Macaca fascicularis: one gene and its partners. The protein of the gene in region 3 binds, or shares a complex with, the protein of the main gene of each other region. Links are inferred from orthologs where the notes say so. Each region holds a gene or a part of one and is shown on either strand. Other genes may lie near its edges.

Region 1 (4,123 bases), on a different chromosome or scaffold from region 3:
CACCAAGTTGTCAATATGTTTTAGACTTACCATTTCTTTTTTTTTTTTCTTTTTTTTTTTTTTTTTTTGAGACGGAGTCTTGCTCTGTGCCCCAGGCTGGAGTGCAGTGGCGTGATCTCGGCTCACTGCAAGCTCCGCCTCCCGGGTTCACGCCATTCTCCTGCCTCAGCCTCCCGAGTAGCTGGGACTACAGGCACCCGCCACCCCGCCCGGCTAATTTTCTTGTATTTTTAGTAGAGACGGGGTTTCACCGTGTTAGCCAGGATGGTCTCGATCTCCTGACCTCGTGATCCGCCCGTCTCGGCCTCCCAAAGTGCTGGGATTACAGGCTTGAGCCACTGCGCTCGGCCTAGACTTACCATTTCTAAAATGGATGGTCGGCCTTCCAACTGGATATGAACACTGGCTTCTTTTCCACTTTCCATTTTCCCGAAATTACATAGGAAATTTAAACAATGTGGATCAGCTTTTATGCAGTACTTGAAAGGAATATAAAAGTGATACATTAAAATTTTCAACACTGGAAAATATTTTAAAAATATTTTATATATAATTTAATATATACTCTAATGGCATTTTGAAAATCATCTTTCCATAAATATGAAATTTAACATCTGCTTTCCTCAGTGGCATTTAAATTATCTTTAAACAAGACATGAATGCTTATTTTCTAAATTATAATAAAGTATTTAAAATAGAGCATATGTTCCTATTTGTATTAACAATCTTCTGGGACAGAATTTTTAAAAAAAATGTTCTAATCAGAGTCTTGCTAAGTTACATATTCTATGTTTGTTGTAAAACGTGGATCATTTCAAGGTGATGACTGCTTCTCCAGTTTCTTTTCATACATTCACTAAGCTGAAAAGAATGAAAATTAACCCATGCCACAAAGGCTGCCCAGGTGAAGACAACATCTTGGTGTCCTGAAGGGTTTGGAACAATGTTTTGTTGGCAAATAGTGGGCATTTGTTAGATAAAAAAATGAAACTGTATAACTTTTTTTTTCTTTTTGACATGGAGTCTTGCTCTGTCGCCCAGGCTGGAGTGCAGTGGCATGATCTTGGCTCACTGCAACCTCCACCTCCCGGATTCAAGCAATTCTCCTGCCTCAGCCTCCCACGTAGCTGGGATTACAGGCACCTGCCACCACACCTGGCTGATTTTTGTATTTTTAGTAGAGACGGGGTTTCACTCTGTTGTCCAGGCTGGTCTCAAACTCCTGACCTTGTGATCTGCTCACCTTGGCCTCCCAAAGTGCTTACAGGCATGAGCTACCATGCCCAGCTAACATATTTATATATGGGATAGACCCTAGGTCTTTCTCAACTCTCCAACCGTGCTTGTTCCTTCCATGCAAGAATACTACCTAAACTTGGCTTCTCTTTTATTGAAGTGACAGCTCAAACCCATTGACTTGATTTTAAGTGTTTCACTTCTCTGTTGGAAAGCAGCAACTACAACCTGAAAAATGGAAACTTACCAATAGCCTCTTATCAGTCTTGGACAAGAACTGGAACATGCCTTTCAAGGTGTGCATTGCACTCTTTTGCTGCTCTAATGCACATACTCTTTGATAATTTTCAAAGTGGCATTCTCCAGTAGTAGTCTATGAAGATAGAAAGGAAGAGAAATCTTATCTTTCATCATTGGAAAAAACAGCAAAAAGCAACATGGTTTTAAAAGTTCCAGTAGCTTATCTTTGCTAAAATATATCAAGTACCTTTGAAATTGTATAATTTTTTTTTTGACATATTTGGGAGTGACTAAATGTCTGTGGCAGAAACACAAAAACCCAGCTGAATTATAGAAGGTTGGATATAGGTTCTAAGCTGATAACGTGGCCTTAAACCTTGCAGAAATGTAAAAATTGATATTGGAACATTAGCATGATATTAAATATTTCTTTTCCTTTATAGGGGAAACAATATAACACCATATTCTTCTCTCTGAATCCGGAATTTAAGTAGGATTTTAAAATCAGACCTCAAACGTATTTAGATTTGTTGACTTCTGTCTTCAACCTGGCAAGCTCAAAACAATTCTGATGGAACCATCAATGAAAGAATATTGGTTCTTAAGAAGTGGTTTGAATAGTGCTTCCTTCAAAAAAGGCTATAATCCTCATATTTGCACAGTAGTTTCAAGTGCTATGAAGAAGTCTACCAATCAAGTTACTTCTGTAGGTCCATATCACACAAAAATGTATCTTAAAATAATTATTCAATGGAGATGGTAGAATATGGTTCTGTTATTTAAATCGAATGTAAAAGTTGCACTGTAAATCTATAGCTGTAATGAAATATATAATATTCAAAGCATGACTCAATAAATGCATGGTGAATTCATAGCTTACAGTGTGACTGAAAACAGTTATCCATTTTCGCATTATTACTTGAATAAAGGATTGGTTTGCATTTATTTTAGTATTTAAGACACACAATAAAGGTCAGGTGGAAGAAATACATTTTTACCTGGACATCCAAAATGTTGAACAGCTTATCAGTTTGGGGGCTGAAAGAATTTGGTACCATTATTTCCACACTAACATTAGGAGCCATGCTATTGCCAGTGTTGATAACCTGGTAAGAAGGAAAAATTTTTAACAAATGTTTTCTATAAATGTAAGTGCAGATATCAATGAACTTTGAGGTGATCCCATATATTCCATGCAACATTTATAGTGGTGGAGGTTTATAGTTGGCAGCTGCACAAAAAAGGTAGACAAGATATCCATAGTCAGAATTTTTAAAGTTTGCTAATTTTGAATGAGTCATTATATCTAACCTTCTAGTTTTGGTATTGTTGAAAACAAAAAGTACAGGCTGATGGTTTATTGGAGAAACAGTCTTAGGAGACAAACAATATATATTTGTATGTTACATTACATATTTTAAAAATATTTGGTTCTCATGAGGTGGGCCAACATTCTGGTATTCACCAGCTAAGGGAAATGCTAACAGATGTTCTTAGAGTTCCCAAGACAAAAGTTAAAAAGTGACAAGAGTTATGACCAAAACTCAGATATTGTAATTCTAAATCCTATGATGTTATTGCAAAAGCATTCTGTGCTGAGAGGATAATCAGCAGGAGAAAGTGAATAAAAATGTATTTTTATTCAGGATCTATATGCTGATGCATTCAGAAAAAAGTATGTTGTTGGGTTTTGAGAAAGCACAACAGGTTTTTAACAATACTTGTCAAAAAATGCATAACAGGATGATAAATCTGGGGATTGAAGATTCCTGAAAAGGGAAATGGGGCCAAAATATAGCCTACCGAACTGGCAGCTTAACTATAAAACCAATACAGTAAGTCAGAAAGAGATGCATCCCAACACCTCGATTAAAAAATGACCTGCAGACCTGCAGTCATTTTATGAACACGTGACAAAGATGAAGAAAGTGTCTCCAGATTGGGAACAGGTGGTAATTGCTAATCCATAAAAGAACAGGGCAGTTGCAGAAGGAAATGTCAGCAACAGATACCTAGCAGTGCCCAGTACTACAGACAAGGTCTTCTCGATGCCATTAAATATCAATCTAAATCACAAACATCTTGTTTGCCTAACAACAATTAAACCTCTAAGAATATCTACATAGTTGGCTAGACACAGAAATCCTATATACCACAAGTTTCTCTAGTCCCAGCCACTACATTATAAATTTAGTAGCAAATACTTAACTATTAATTGTAAATTAATAAATCATCTAGAGTACAGTTTGGTTTCTGTTTTAGTTTATCAAAGCACAAACTCCCACTGGGTTTTAAAGAGCATTTCATAGGACTTCAAAGTGGAGGAGGACTAAAATTTTTCAACATTAGTATCAACTAGTATAACAAAAATTGGAATATACATAGAGTCAACAGGATTTCAAGGTCATTCTTTTTCCACAGATCTGGGGCAGGGCCCAGGAATTTGCATTTTGGATAGGTACCCCAAATGATTCTAATACACATTTTGAAAAGCATTGTCTTACAAAATATTATACCTAATCCAAGATTTACTCGCATATATAGATTATAAGAATGCTTGGACAGTGCTTTTGGTTCAAAGAATTCTTTTTTGGAAATTACTAATCACCAATATCTTTGATACAACAAAAATATCAGTTTGACAGCA
Region 2 (4,123 bases), on a different chromosome or scaffold from region 3:
CCAAGTAGCTGGGACTACAGGCGCCCGCCACCTTGCCCGGCTAGTTTTTTATGTATTTTTAGTAGAGACGGGGTTTCACCGTGTTCGCCAGGATGGTCTCGATCTCCTGACCTTGTGATCCGCCTGTCTCGGCCTCCCAAAGTGCTGGGATTACAGGCTTGAGTCACCGCGCCCGGCCAGTTGTAACTATTTTTAACTGAACGTTATCTTACAGACATTCTCCACGTGGTCTCCATCATTATCACGGTTGCTTATATTCAATTCAAGTAAACATAATTTATTTAACCATTTCCCTCAAATTAGACACTTAAGTTATATCTAATCATTAAGTATTATGTAAATTGCATTGAGTATTTTTGTACACAATTAAAACAATTCCTCTTGGATTACATTTGTAAGATGGAAACTCTCATAAGTAGGTAAAGGGTTAAGCATTTTGCACATTTCCTATTTTCAAAAAGGATGTGTGATACAATGTGGCACTAGTAATGTAGGAGTGTTGGAGTTTCATGGTGACTTAACAACACTGAGTAGTTTCACTTAAAAAGTCTTTTTGCTCACTTAATAGGTGTGAAATGTTACAGTGATGCTATTTTAACTTAAAATGAAACCTTAAAAATATGTTTTCTGACTGTATTTCTTTTTGTGTAAATTACTCCCGTCTCTTTTGTCTTATTATGCTGCTATCATATTAATTTCTTACAAATTTATACACATATGATATATAAAGATACTAACCCTTTACTTTCTGTAAAAGTTTTTCTAAGCCTGTTTTATGATTTTCTGTTATTTTATTCTATTGAAAAGAATCATGTATCTTTATGTAGTTGAATCTGTCCTTGTTTGCCTTTATAGTTTCTTTTATAACTTTGAAGCTGGAAACGTGATTCCTATTCAAGAGAGCTAATTAACAGTTCTATTTTCTTAAAGTGTTCCTATCATTTGATATTTTTGCACTCATTTACCTACAAACGTCACAAGCCTTTCTCTTCTTAAATAAGTAACTCCTAAGTACAGTATTCCAATGTAAGTCATCAAAGCTAAAAAGCAGCCATCAGAAACTTAATGAGGGAATTCATGATGTTAACCTGAAGACTTTTTGTCACCCACATATTTTACAGACTCTTTAAAACTGGCTCAAACTTTGGCTGTGATTTTTCCTAAGAGATAACCTAAATGCTCCAAAGTCATCTAAGTTCCCATCCTGCCTACACTATATGAAAACCTAGAATCTTGGAGTCTTGCTCAAAATTAGACTGCATCCTGCTCACGCCCCAGAATTATGCCTAACCAGAGGACCTCTTCTTATTTAGCCAGTCTCTAAAGAATGTAATTGCTTCAGCTTTTGCCATTTAAGTAAACCCCAGTTACCTTCCCACCAGAGTGATATCAGGGTGAGATAGGGGCAGGTGAGACAGCTGGGAACCAGGTGGGATGGACCAGCTGATTGACAGGCTGCTGCTTTCAAGAGTCCAGGACATGCCAGGGCATGTGATCCCAGGAGCTTCCTGGTCCCCAGAGCAGGACCTCCCAGAACCTCTCAGGAGGCCCCAGAAAGGTGACTCCCAGGCTCAGCTCTGAATAGAGCCAGGGAAAAATCAGAGATCTCAGGTGAAATGCAAACAGCTTCCTCTGCTTCCTGCCCCTTCATCTTCTTTCTAAAATGAACAGGGGTTAATTTTTTCATTTCACCTAGCCATCAGTATGGTGGCTGACCACCTTTATGCTTTATTGAGCATACTAAACGCCACACCCCACACCACTGCATTCATCTCAGTGGGGAACAAGATATGGAGAATGACACCAAGGACAGAGGACCCTGATCCAAGGCATGAGATGATTATTCCCATTCTCTTGCCACATATAGAGGATAAACAAAACATTTACTACATGCCAGAAAGATCAGTTAAATAAAATTTACCTTCCAAAGTAATGCATGCTAAATTTGCTTTGAACCCTAGGTTTACTGAGGGCAGGAATTCATTCTCAAAGTCTTCATAATGAATTAAAAACAGAATTTCAGCTGGATCTCTGAAGCAGGGAAGACATGTATTGATACTATTATTAACTTGGAACACTGAGCATTTAAAACTTTCCAAAGTGCTTTCTCATTTACCATCTCACTTGATTCCTGTCCCCATTCAACAAATGAGAAAAACTGAATTCCAAAGAGATTAAATCACTATGTGAAAGTCTCATATAGCCAATTAATAGTAGAACCAGGGTTCCTATCTGCTTGGCCTCAGGTCATTTGCACTTACAAGGAAGGAAAGAAAACCTAACGAGATCAGTCTGAAAAGTTCCTCTCTCAATCTTAGATCAAACAGATGAAACAACGCTAAGGAGTAGAACAAAACCAGCAGTTCCACCCATGTGTGCCACAGACCTTGCCAAAGCTGCCTTTGCCCAACACCTTGATGAAGTTGAACTCATCCAGGCCCAGGCGCTTGGCCTGGCCTTGCCGGACTTCGCCATTCTCCCCAGGGCTCAGCTGGCCATCAGGAGATGATGCCGACCGGTGCTCCTCCCCTCGGTTGTCAAATGACAAGGCTTTCCGAATGTTGTTCTCAAGTTCTTTTATTTCTAGGGCCAAGGGGAACAAGAAATTGCATTAGTGCATACCTCATAAGCTGTTCCATTAGGACTCAACACTCAGACTTTCCCCTGTAAGCTCTCAGTCCTCTTTCTGGTTCTTCATAACAACAGATCCAGTGTGGCATCCCTTTGTATGTTCCCTCATCTGTTCACCATATTCTCGTTGGCACCCAATGCGCAGCAGAGCCTAGGTATGCAAAGAGGAGGAGGACACAGTCCCTTCCCTGCCCTTGTAAACTCCAGATTACACTGGACCTGGCCGTCTCTCTGAAAGCCCCCTTTGGCTAGTAGCCTATTCCATTGTTCTAGGTGCAGCACACAAATCTGGGCCCTCTCTAGAATTCTGCAGAGTCATAGGTATCCTTCAAGTTTCCTTTGAAGATGAGAACAACGAATCAGGAACTGTCATCACAGTAATCATTGGTGATATAATTATTTCAATAACCGAGCCATCAGAATGGTGGCTGATCACTGAAGGTGGAAATCTTCACACCTTCTAAAAGCCTTTACTCAGCCTTGTTGCCGGGTTTCTTCTAAATACCCATCTCACACAAGGTTATCTAACAAAACGAGCAATGGGCTTATTATTAACAACAGAATTGCTTTCCCAAGTGACATGTTGCAAACTTATCTCCAATGGGGCGGGAATTTCTCAGTAAAACTTCTCAACTATGAGACAGTCTTGTGCCCTACTCTAGAGCTTGTGACTTGAATTACCTGGGGGAGATAATGCTGGATGATCCTCTGACCTTTTCTATTTGAAGAAGCTTTACTGTTAGCAACTCATTCATCAAGACACGCAGTCTTTTGTGTGGAAATGGGCGTCTTGAGCATAATCCGATTTTAAATGATGCTTGTGAATAACGGATTACAGAAGGCGAACACAGCCTATTAGCCCTTGGGAATCAGAATTAGGCATGAGTGACAGAAAGAGATCTTCAGCTTCTTTTCAGGAGGACAGAGTCCTATAAGGGCTCACTCAAGGAATCCAGAGATCTTTCCTAGATCTGGAGTTTGGCTCCTCTGAGATGTGTTGGGGAGGGTGAAGTGGGGGAAAGCTGCTAAGTCTGCAGACCCTCCCCTTGCCAATTCAGCAGTTATCTGCCTATCACTTAGCTTGACTAAGTAACTTTTAATCTCACCATAGAGCTAAAAGCCTCAGTTATTAAATGAATTTTGGAAGGCAGAACATAGTTGTTTAGGGACACCAAAGATTGAAGAAAAAGTTTTTCTATTTATTCTTACAAGGGAAGAAAAATAAACTATGTCTGATTTCTGTTGTGTAATAATGTCACTCAGAGGGACATCTGTGCTCACATCACTACTGGGAAATCCTGGCCCCTGTGTCAAGTGGGATGAGCAGAGGCCCTGGGGAGCACTGCAACCTGCTACTGTACCCATCCAATGACAGAGCTCAGAGCCAGAGAGCATGCGGGGCAGGAGCCAGGCCTAGAAACCCTGGTCTCTGAACTCTTACTTGGGCTCTCTTTCCCATATGACCCTGTCTCCCTGAAGCTCCCAAAGGGGA
Region 3 (4,123 bases):
TGATCGGTGGCGGGGAAGGCGCTGGGTGGGAGAGCGGGGTGTGTCCGTGGCGGGGCTGGTAGTGGTTCCGCTTCTGCGGGCGGCTGTGGCGTCTCTGCCCCGGGGTCGGGCGGCTTCGCTCCCCCCCACCCGCCGCGCCACGGCTTGGGCGGGGGCGCGGGCTGCTCCTCCCTCTGGCTTCGGTCGGAGGAGGGGGGAATTAACACTCTGCAGTAGGTTGGGCTCCCTGACACAGATCCGCCATGACAAAGGAGAGTCGGGGACTTGAGCGGAGGCTCCGACTTGGGCGGAGCCTGGAGGGGGGTGGTTGCGGATAAGTGGACCGGAGGATTTTCACTTTAAAGTCCGGGTCTGCCGGTTTTCGTTTCGCCGTAGTCGACGTCTCAAGTCAGGTAAGGGTTAAATGGGTGCGGTGAGTCCTGCCCGCAGTGTAGAGGCGAGGCCTTGGAGCACTCATTACTGTGTGAGAAACCTTATCCACTTCCTCTTGTACCGAAGTGATTGGGTAGAGAATCCTTTGTACTGGTTTAAATCATTTTTCATTAGAAGCAGAATTAACCAGAGACTGTTTCTGAGATCCTAAGGGAAAAATTAGTAATTTAGACACCTGAGGAAAATAATGCCGTCATAAAGGTTAAATAGTTTACGTATTGAGCCAGTACCTTGTATCCAAAGTGGCTAAGTAATTTGTTTAAAATGTGGGGACCTGTTCTCATTTAGTTAAAAAAATACTGTGAGATTTCCCTGGGAAGGCAAAAGATGATTAATATTCGAGAGTCAGCTTCCAAGGTGAACTCTTCCGTTCACCTAATTTAAAAGTGCACTTCATTCAGGGTGTATATTTTTCTCTAAAGTCGTTTTTTTTTTTGGTGTGGTATCGCTGTGTGGATTAGTATCTTTGTGCTGTTTGCCAACTTGCCAAAGGATATCTTTCCAGAAAAATGTAGCTGAGGTAAATAGAAAAGGTCTAGGAAACTAAAACGCGAGGGAAAGAGAATTAGGTGGATAGTCATGGTGAAGAACAGCTTGAGTGATAACATCCAATTACAGTATGACAGCTAGACGCAAAATGCAGCACTTCTACATTTCAACTGGAGCAATGACATTGGAAACACTTGTAAATCAAGTACTTCCAACGTGATATATTCTAGTACTCACAGTAAGAGTTGAAGTGCCATGACTTGTGGATATTTTTAAAGCATGTGGACATATAACAAGATAAGGAGTTGAGGCATTAGGGTCAGATATTGATCCTTTGTGGTGGATTTATACTCAAAATATCTGAAAACAAACAGTTTGGTCATTCCTCCCCCCAAATTGTTATGCTATTATTGGCTGGCAAATGTTGCAGAGATCTAGTAGGTTTGGGGTGGGGGTAACACTAAAACTAAAATTTAATCACTCCTGACGAAAGTATTATGAAAGTAAAAAGACATGAGTTAAACTGACAAGAATTATGATTCTGGAAATATGATAGAAATCCAGATGTTCTCTGTAAACAATGCTTTTACTATGGAAGAAAAGCTGCTTAATTTCAGATCACTTAGTGGTATTGGAAATGAGTTGAGATTTTGGTCAAGTAAGATTGGGGTAAGTTTTTGAGGCAGCTTTTGAAAGTAATTTTGACATGTGAAATCTGTATCTAATGGACAAATTTTAGTTTTGCTACACTGATGTGTTAATGGCTGAAAGTTTACCTCTGATGCTGAGTATGCTGAATTTTTTTTCCTTTTCTGACTATCCTTTTGTGAAGCTGCATTTTAATTCTTCATGTGAACAGTCTTCCACAGGCAGTTAGATTTCAGGTTTAAAAAACTCATTTACCACAGGTATAATTTTGAGTCTGTTTATTTTGATGGGAAAAATTTTAAATACTCCTTTTTTCCCCCCTGCAGAACATCCAGTCATGGATAAAAATGAGCTGGTTCAGAAGGCCAAACTGGCCGAGCAGGCTGAGCGATATGATGACATGGCAGCCTGCATGAAGTCTGTAACTGAGCAAGGAGCTGAATTATCCAATGAGGAGAGGAATCTTCTCTCAGTTGCTTATAAAAATGTTGTAGGAGCCCGTAGGTCATCTTGGAGGGTCGTCTCAAGTATTGAACAAAAGACGGAAGGTGCTGAGAAAAAACAGCAGATGGCTCGAGAATACAGAGAGAAAATTGAGACGGAGCTAAGAGATATCTGCAATGATGTACTGGTGAGAATCAATTGAATCTGGCTTCATTATACTGTAAGGTTCCTATGAGTATCAGTTACATTACTCTCAACGTTTTCTTCGGTTTATCTTTTCCTTCTAAACATTGTGTGTTCAGATTTAAAAGTCTTCATGGTGTCATAACTAAAAAGATGTTAAGACAATTATAGATATGTGTATGTAAAGTAATTGTAATAATGATGATGAAACAGTTCAGTTTTAAAAATAACACACTTTAGTATTATTGAAAAGATAAACTAATAGTATTACTGCTTTACTTATGGTTAGAACATTTGTGGTAGCTCTATAGCTGGTTATCTTAAATGTACATCTATGGATAAAGGAATTTTACATATTTTATGTAAGAGAGATGTAATAGGATACTGATTGTAGAAATAGTACTCTTCTCAGGATTAGCCGCTATAATGTTAATGTAATGAGTCAGCCATGCAGAAAACTCTGGCGTCACGACTATGAAACCTCTTTCCTGCATTGAATTCTTGAAAATAAATTTTGAACACTCGCAACCATGATGAAAGGTTATGAATAACTCAAGCTTGATTTTTCCAGTTTGAATCGAGTATTTTAAGTATTCAGTACCTACTGTGTTGAAGCACTGCGCTTAAAATGATTAAACTACATTTTGGTTAATTTTAATCTGTCATACAAAGTAGGGCTTTTTGATCAAGAATAGTTTAAATTTGAGGATAAACTAGTAGAAAATCCAAGCTGGCAGTTTTTCGAATAATATTTAAAGTGATTTTGCTAAATGGTTACACTTAATCAGTATGGCAGGACTCTGATATACAAAGAGGGGCAGCAGCATCGCGATTTTTCTGGACAGGTTACTGAATGTGGGACTCAGTATGGAAATCCAGGTGTGTTACTTACTATATGAACCTTATTTATATGGAAGAAGTACTGTAATGAGCAATAGGATAATGTCTGATGTGGTTGTGGGTTTGGGGTTTTTGTTACAGTTGTGATGATGCTATCATTTCTTTACACTTGTATTTACTAATGGAATAGCATCAGTTCCTAAACTGTATTTTTCTCAAATGATACTTGACACTGTCTTTTAAAATAATAGTGATTTTTTAAAACATGCTTATTTGGGTTCACAATCACAAACTCAATGAGACATCTGTCTTGGGGCTTTTTTTTTGTTGTTCTTATTGAAACCTTTACAATGATAGCTGTTATTTGTATCTAAGTTGAAAAAAGGAATATCTTGCTTTTATTGAGGCCAAGTGACAAATACCTATCTTGTGATTTTGCTAAGGTAGTAAGAATATTTAAATTTTGAAAATGTGATTTTTTTCCTATAATAAAAAATGTATTGGGTTTTTTTTTTTTTTTTTCCTTGCTCTCCTTACTAATATCTGTGTAAGTGTAACTCAGTTTTGTTCAGTCTGGTGTTACACTTGATCAAAAAGTTTTTATTTGGGCTTCAAAGGATATGTTACAAGTTAACATTTCCCTTAAGACAAAAGTCAACTTTAGGAATAAAAAGGAATGTGACATTTACCTTTTAATAACACGCTTATTTGCAATACCAGGTAGGTATGTGCATGTTTTCCATATACAAAGTATAAAAGTTCCTGTCATTGTGAGTCTTCTCCTGGGAAAAGACTTGTAGCAGGTTTGTTTTTTTGTGTTTCTTTTGAGACTGAGTTTTGCTCTTGTTGCCCAGGCTTGAGTGCAATGGCATGATCTTAGCTCACTGCAACCTCAGCCTCCCGTGTTCAAGCAATTCTTCTGCCTTGACCTCCCTAGTAGTTGGAATTACAGGGCGTGCGCCACCACGCCCAGCTAATTTTTGTATTTTTAGTAGAGATAGGGTTTCACCTTGTTGGCCAGGCTGGTAACCAGGTCAGGTCTAACTCCCAACCTCAGGTGATCCACTCACCTCAGCCTCCCAAAGTG
Region 4 (4,013 bases), on a different chromosome or scaffold from region 3:
GAACACACAGGCATACATTGAAAGATTGTAATATTTGATAGAGGGGCCCTCTTAATACAATATTGTTTTAATTTGTTTTATATTTAAATTTTTTAAATAAATAAGAATAAAGATATCTCTTCTTTTGACTTGATAATTTATTAACTAAGAGAATTTTGGGCCGCCTTGGAAATCTACATTTAACAAGTTACAGCTGAATAAATTTAAACAACTCCAGAATATACATTCCTCTAACTTAGGCTCAAATCCCAATTACGGAATAGTAATTGATAATCTACTAAATAATTGCCCTTTCTTATTTGATTTCAAAGCTTCAGGACAGGTGCAGTGGCTCCCGCCTGTTATCCCAACATTTTGGGAAGCATAGGCAGATTGCTTGATGCCAGGTGTTGGAGATGAGGCTGGTCAATATAGTGAGACTTTGTCTCTCTATATATATATAAAAAAAATAAAATTTAAAAATGTAAAGGTGCAGTTCAAATTAAGATTCTGCTTTTATGGTGAATTACAGTCAAGTGCCTTTGCTTAACCATGAAAAAGTAAGTTCAGAAATTAAGCATAGGCAACACCTTTCCAGGAACACTTTTTATCCACTTGAGAAAAAACAAAGCTACATAGCATTGAACTTCTAAATACAAGATTTGTTTTTGAACAGCAGATGTGATTACAAGTGAGTCTCATCTGTTCATTAGAAGACCATTCAGAAGTTCTGTGTCACTTGTAATCTTTTTGCATTTGGAAGTTAATATGGATGCATTTGTATTTTTTTTTTGTATGGAGTCTCACTCTGTCGCCCAGGCTGGAGTACAGTTGTTCAATCTCAGCCCACTGCAACCTCTGCCTCCTGAGTTCAAGTGATTCTCCTGCCTCAGCCTCCCAAGTAGCTGGGATTACAGGCACATGCCACCACGCCCAGCTAATTTTTTGTATTTTTAGTAGAGATGGGGTTTCACCACTTTGGCCAGGCTGGTCTCGAACTCCTGACCTCAGATGATCCGCCTGCCTCAGCCTCCCAAAGTGCTGGGGTTATAGGTGTGAGCCACTGCACCCAGCCTGGATGCATTTATTTGTATTTATTGAGTAATAGGGAGGCCTTTCCCCTAATAATCACAGAAGATTGTGTTTTTAGTAATTTCATTTTTAGATTCATTTTTAATTATAGTCAAGGTTTACATTATAAATAGAGTTTGTGCTTTATTAAAGTTATATAAAACATCTTACTTTTGTGCATATTCTACTTTCTCTACAGTTTTTGGCTGAAGATTATACACTATTGGATGTTCTCTACTATGTTACACGTGATGACTTAAAATGCTTGAGACTAAGGTACCACTTTTCTTTCTGTTGTCACGATAGAAAGAGTACCGGGCTAATATAAGAAAGTCTGAGTACCTGCCCAGGCTGGGTCTCTAATTAGCTTTGCAGTTCTGGACAGAGCTCTCTAGTTCTTAGCTGCTCTGAGTAAACTGAGTTAGTTGGACCATTCTATTTTTGAGGGCTCTAATAACCAATATTTCTATATTAGTAAGTGAAAATCAACTGGAAGAATTTTTTTGAATAATATGCAGACTAAGTCCATGCAGATATTCTGAAGCTGCCTTACACAAATGCTTTAATTGAGTTCATGATGGTGTTATACTCAATAAATATTTGGAGGAGGTGCTGACTTGCCCTCCAAAAGCCTGGTATAATCTGATATAATTTATTATTAATTAAGGCCAAGCATAGAACTTTTTTTTTTTTTCCGAGATGGAGTCTCGCTTTGTCACCCAGGCTGCAATGCAGTGGCGTGATCTTGGCTCACTGCAAGCTCCGCTTCCCAAGTTCACGCCATTCTTCTGCCTCAGCCTCCCGAGTAGCTGAGACTACAGGTGCTCGCCACCATGCCCAGCTAATTTTTTTGTGTTTTCAGTAAAGACAGGGTTTCACCGTGTTAGCCAGGGTGGTCTCAATCTCCTGACCTCATGATCTGCCTGCCTCAGCCTCCCAAAGTGCTGGGATTACAGGTGTGAGCCACCACACCCAGCCCAAGCAGAAAACTATTATACCCACCATTATAAAGACAAATTTCAAAAATGCTGAAAATCTGAAATGATGTTTTGGGACACAGCAGTTTGTGGGAGTGAAAAGAGAAGGAATGGAGGGAAGATGAGAAAATATATACAAAAAGAATACATAATAACTGATCAGACTTTGGGATCTTCTTCTGACCAGAGCAGATGAAAGCTAAGAAGTCACTTTTCTATTTCAAGGGCAGTGTTTCAAATGAAATGTTCTTTTCACCATGTTCTTGTGTCTTTCAACAGGGGAGGGATGCTGTGCACACTGTGGAAGGCCATCATTGACTTTCGAAACAAACAGACTTGACTGTTGCTCAATTTAATCTTCAATGGAAATTCTAAAAATTAATACAGATCTGACCTTCTTGGGGGTGGGAAAATCGAAGGGAGAGGAGAAAGGAGCTGCACTTTAAATCCAGTATTTGTTTACTCACGTTAAAAAAAAAAAAAAACAGACAAAACACACTGAAATTTCCTAACTACATCTATTTCTATAATTTTTAAGGACTCTTCATAAGGACTCTTAAAATAATCCTGAACATTAGAACCCTAACGTTCAGGAAGATTTTAATCTAAGCATTTTTATGGAAATATTTTTAATGCAGCAGCTATTGCACTTCAGCCAAATGTTTATTTCACACAAAACGGATGTAACATTTCATGTGATTGTGCACCACTGGAACAAAACCAAAATGTGACCATAACTTTTTAGGCTTCTGTGTGTTTGTAATATGCTCTAATAATCTGAGTAGAAATGCATAATTTCAATTACTGTATAAAGTTTATGTTTTTTTAAGTGTGCAGAATCTGAGAGCAATGGTTTTTACTTCTCTGTGTTAATTGTAATATTGACTATATTTTGTAACTTAAGTTTCTGACCTGTCGTACATTTGTTTGAGTCGTTTATGTACTACTGAACTGTACCAGTTGCACATGCTTGAACCGTAGTAACGTTAGCTTGTTCTAAAGCTATCCATTGTGTCATATTTACTCTAAAAATTAAAAAGACTCTCAACATACTGTTTTGATAACTTCTAAAGAATTCTTATTTTGTATTGACAAACTAGATAGTCTGCTGTGTTAAATTTCCAGTCGTTTCTCCAGCTATAACATTTAGTAAAATCTGTCTTCTATTCAAGCAGTCAGACAACTGACATCCAGGTTGTTCCTCAGGGGAATGGAGGTTTAAGAAAGGGTAAGCCTGGGCAACAAAGTGAGACCCCATCTCTACAAAAACTCAAACATTCAGCTAGGTGTGGTTGTGCACACCTGTGGTCCTAGCTACATGGGAGGCTGAGGCAGGAGGATCACTTGAGCCCGGGAGGTTGAGATTGCAGTGAGCCATGATTGTGCCATTTCACTCTAGCTTGGGCAACAGAGTAAGACCCTGTCTCAAAAAAAAAAAAAAAAAAAAAAAAAAGAGGGTGAGGAAAAAAAGAATAAAGGGAAGTATATTTTTCTCAAGGCCCCAAGTTATCTTGGATGACTATTGTGTATCTTAAGGCGTCTGCAAAGACCATCTTAATGGAGAATACTACGTATTTATTTATTTATTTGTTTATTTATTTATTTATTGACAGAGTCTTGCTCTGTTGCTCCGGCTGGAGTGCAGTGGCACCATCTCAGCTTACTGCAACCTCCACCTCCCGGGTTCAAGTGATTCTTGTAGGTCAGCCTCCTGAGTAGCTGGGATTATAGGCGTGTACCACTACACCCAGCTAATTTGTATTTTTAGTAGCAATGAGGTTTTGCCATGTTTGGCAAGCTGGTCTCAAACTCCTGACCTCAAGTGATCCATCTACCTTGGCCTCCTAAAGTGCTGGGATTACAGGTGTGTGCTACTATGCCTGGCCAAGAATACTGTATTTTTCTATCTCCTCAATTTACTCATATTTGGAGAAATATTTTTATTTATTTTAAGCTGAATAGTATATTTTTATGAGCCTGCCCATA

The links. Proteins that work in one complex are often made in the same cells at the same time.
Region 1: the proteins of YWHAZ (region 3) and ITGA4 are in contact, whole or in part, in a crystal structure (PDB 4HKC), measured with the Homo sapiens proteins. The link is inferred for Macaca fascicularis from reciprocal best matches to the Homo sapiens genes YWHAZ and ITGA4. Residues at the interface, in NP_001129171.1 of Homo sapiens: Lys49, Arg56, Lys120, Arg127, Tyr128, Glu131, Gly169, Leu172, Asn173, Val176, Tyr179, Glu180, Ile217, Leu220, Asn224, Leu227, Trp228; in NP_000876.3 of Homo sapiens: Arg1007, Gln1008, Tyr1009, Lys1010, Ser1011, Ile1012, Leu1013.
Region 2: the proteins of YWHAZ (region 3) and PRKCE are in contact, whole or in part, in a crystal structure (PDB 2WH0), measured with the Homo sapiens proteins. The link is inferred for Macaca fascicularis from reciprocal best matches to the Homo sapiens genes YWHAZ and PRKCE. Residues at the interface, in NP_001129171.1 of Homo sapiens: Asn42, Ser45, Val46, Lys49, Arg56, Lys120, Arg127, Tyr128, Gly169, Leu172, Asn173, Val176, Glu180, Leu216, Leu220, Asp223, Asn224, Leu227, Trp228; in NP_005391.1 of Homo sapiens: Lys365, Ala366, Leu367, Ser368, Phe369, Asp370, Asn371, Arg372.
Region 4: the proteins of YWHAZ (region 3) and MAP3K5 are in contact, whole or in part, in a crystal structure (PDB 6EJL), measured with the Homo sapiens proteins. The link is inferred for Macaca fascicularis from reciprocal best matches to the Homo sapiens genes YWHAZ and MAP3K5. Residues at the interface, in NP_001129171.1 of Homo sapiens: Val46, Lys49, Asn50, Arg56, Lys120, Arg127, Tyr128, Glu131, Gly169, Leu172, Asn173, Val176, Tyr179, Glu180, Ile217, Leu220, Asp223, Asn224, Leu227, Trp228; in NP_005914.1 of Homo sapiens: Ser964, Ile965, Ser966, Leu967, Pro968, Val969.

What each region holds. Positions count from the first base shown.
Region 1 is NC_088386.1:77,073,769-77,077,891, reverse strand, and holds part of ITGA4 (integrin alpha-4), read right to left. Parts: intron 2,583-4,123; coding exon 2,475-2,582; intron 2,351-2,474; exon of another isoform or gene 1,934-2,350; coding exon of another isoform or gene 1,920-1,933; intron 1,610-1,919; coding exon 1,484-1,609; intron 480-1,483; coding exon 360-479; intron 1-359. Other genes in the region: CERKL (ceramide kinase-like protein), read left to right, coding at 1,920-1,933. UniProt on the Homo sapiens protein: Integrins alpha-4/beta-1 (VLA-4) and alpha-4/beta-7 are receptors for fibronectin. They recognize one or more domains within the alternatively spliced CS-1 and CS-5 regions of fibronectin. They are also receptors for VCAM1.
Region 2 is NC_088387.1:76,045,216-76,049,338, forward strand, and holds part of PRKCE (protein kinase C epsilon type), read right to left. Parts: intron 2,584-4,123; coding exon 2,387-2,583; intron 1-2,386.
Region 3 is NC_088382.1:110,574,496-110,578,618, reverse strand, and holds part of YWHAZ (14-3-3 protein zeta/delta), read left to right. Parts: exon of another isoform or gene 1-392; intron 393-1,895; 5' UTR 1,896-1,906; coding exon 1,907-2,200; intron 2,201-4,123.
Region 4 is NC_088378.1:40,609,607-40,613,619, reverse strand, and holds the end of MAP3K5 (mitogen-activated protein kinase kinase kinase 5), read left to right. Parts: intron 1-1,249; coding exon 1,250-1,326; intron 1,327-2,306; coding exon 2,307-2,367; 3' UTR 2,368-3,079; downstream 3,080-4,013. UniProt on the Homo sapiens protein: Serine/threonine kinase which acts as an essential component of the MAP kinase signal transduction pathway. Plays an important role in the cascades of cellular responses evoked by changes in the environment.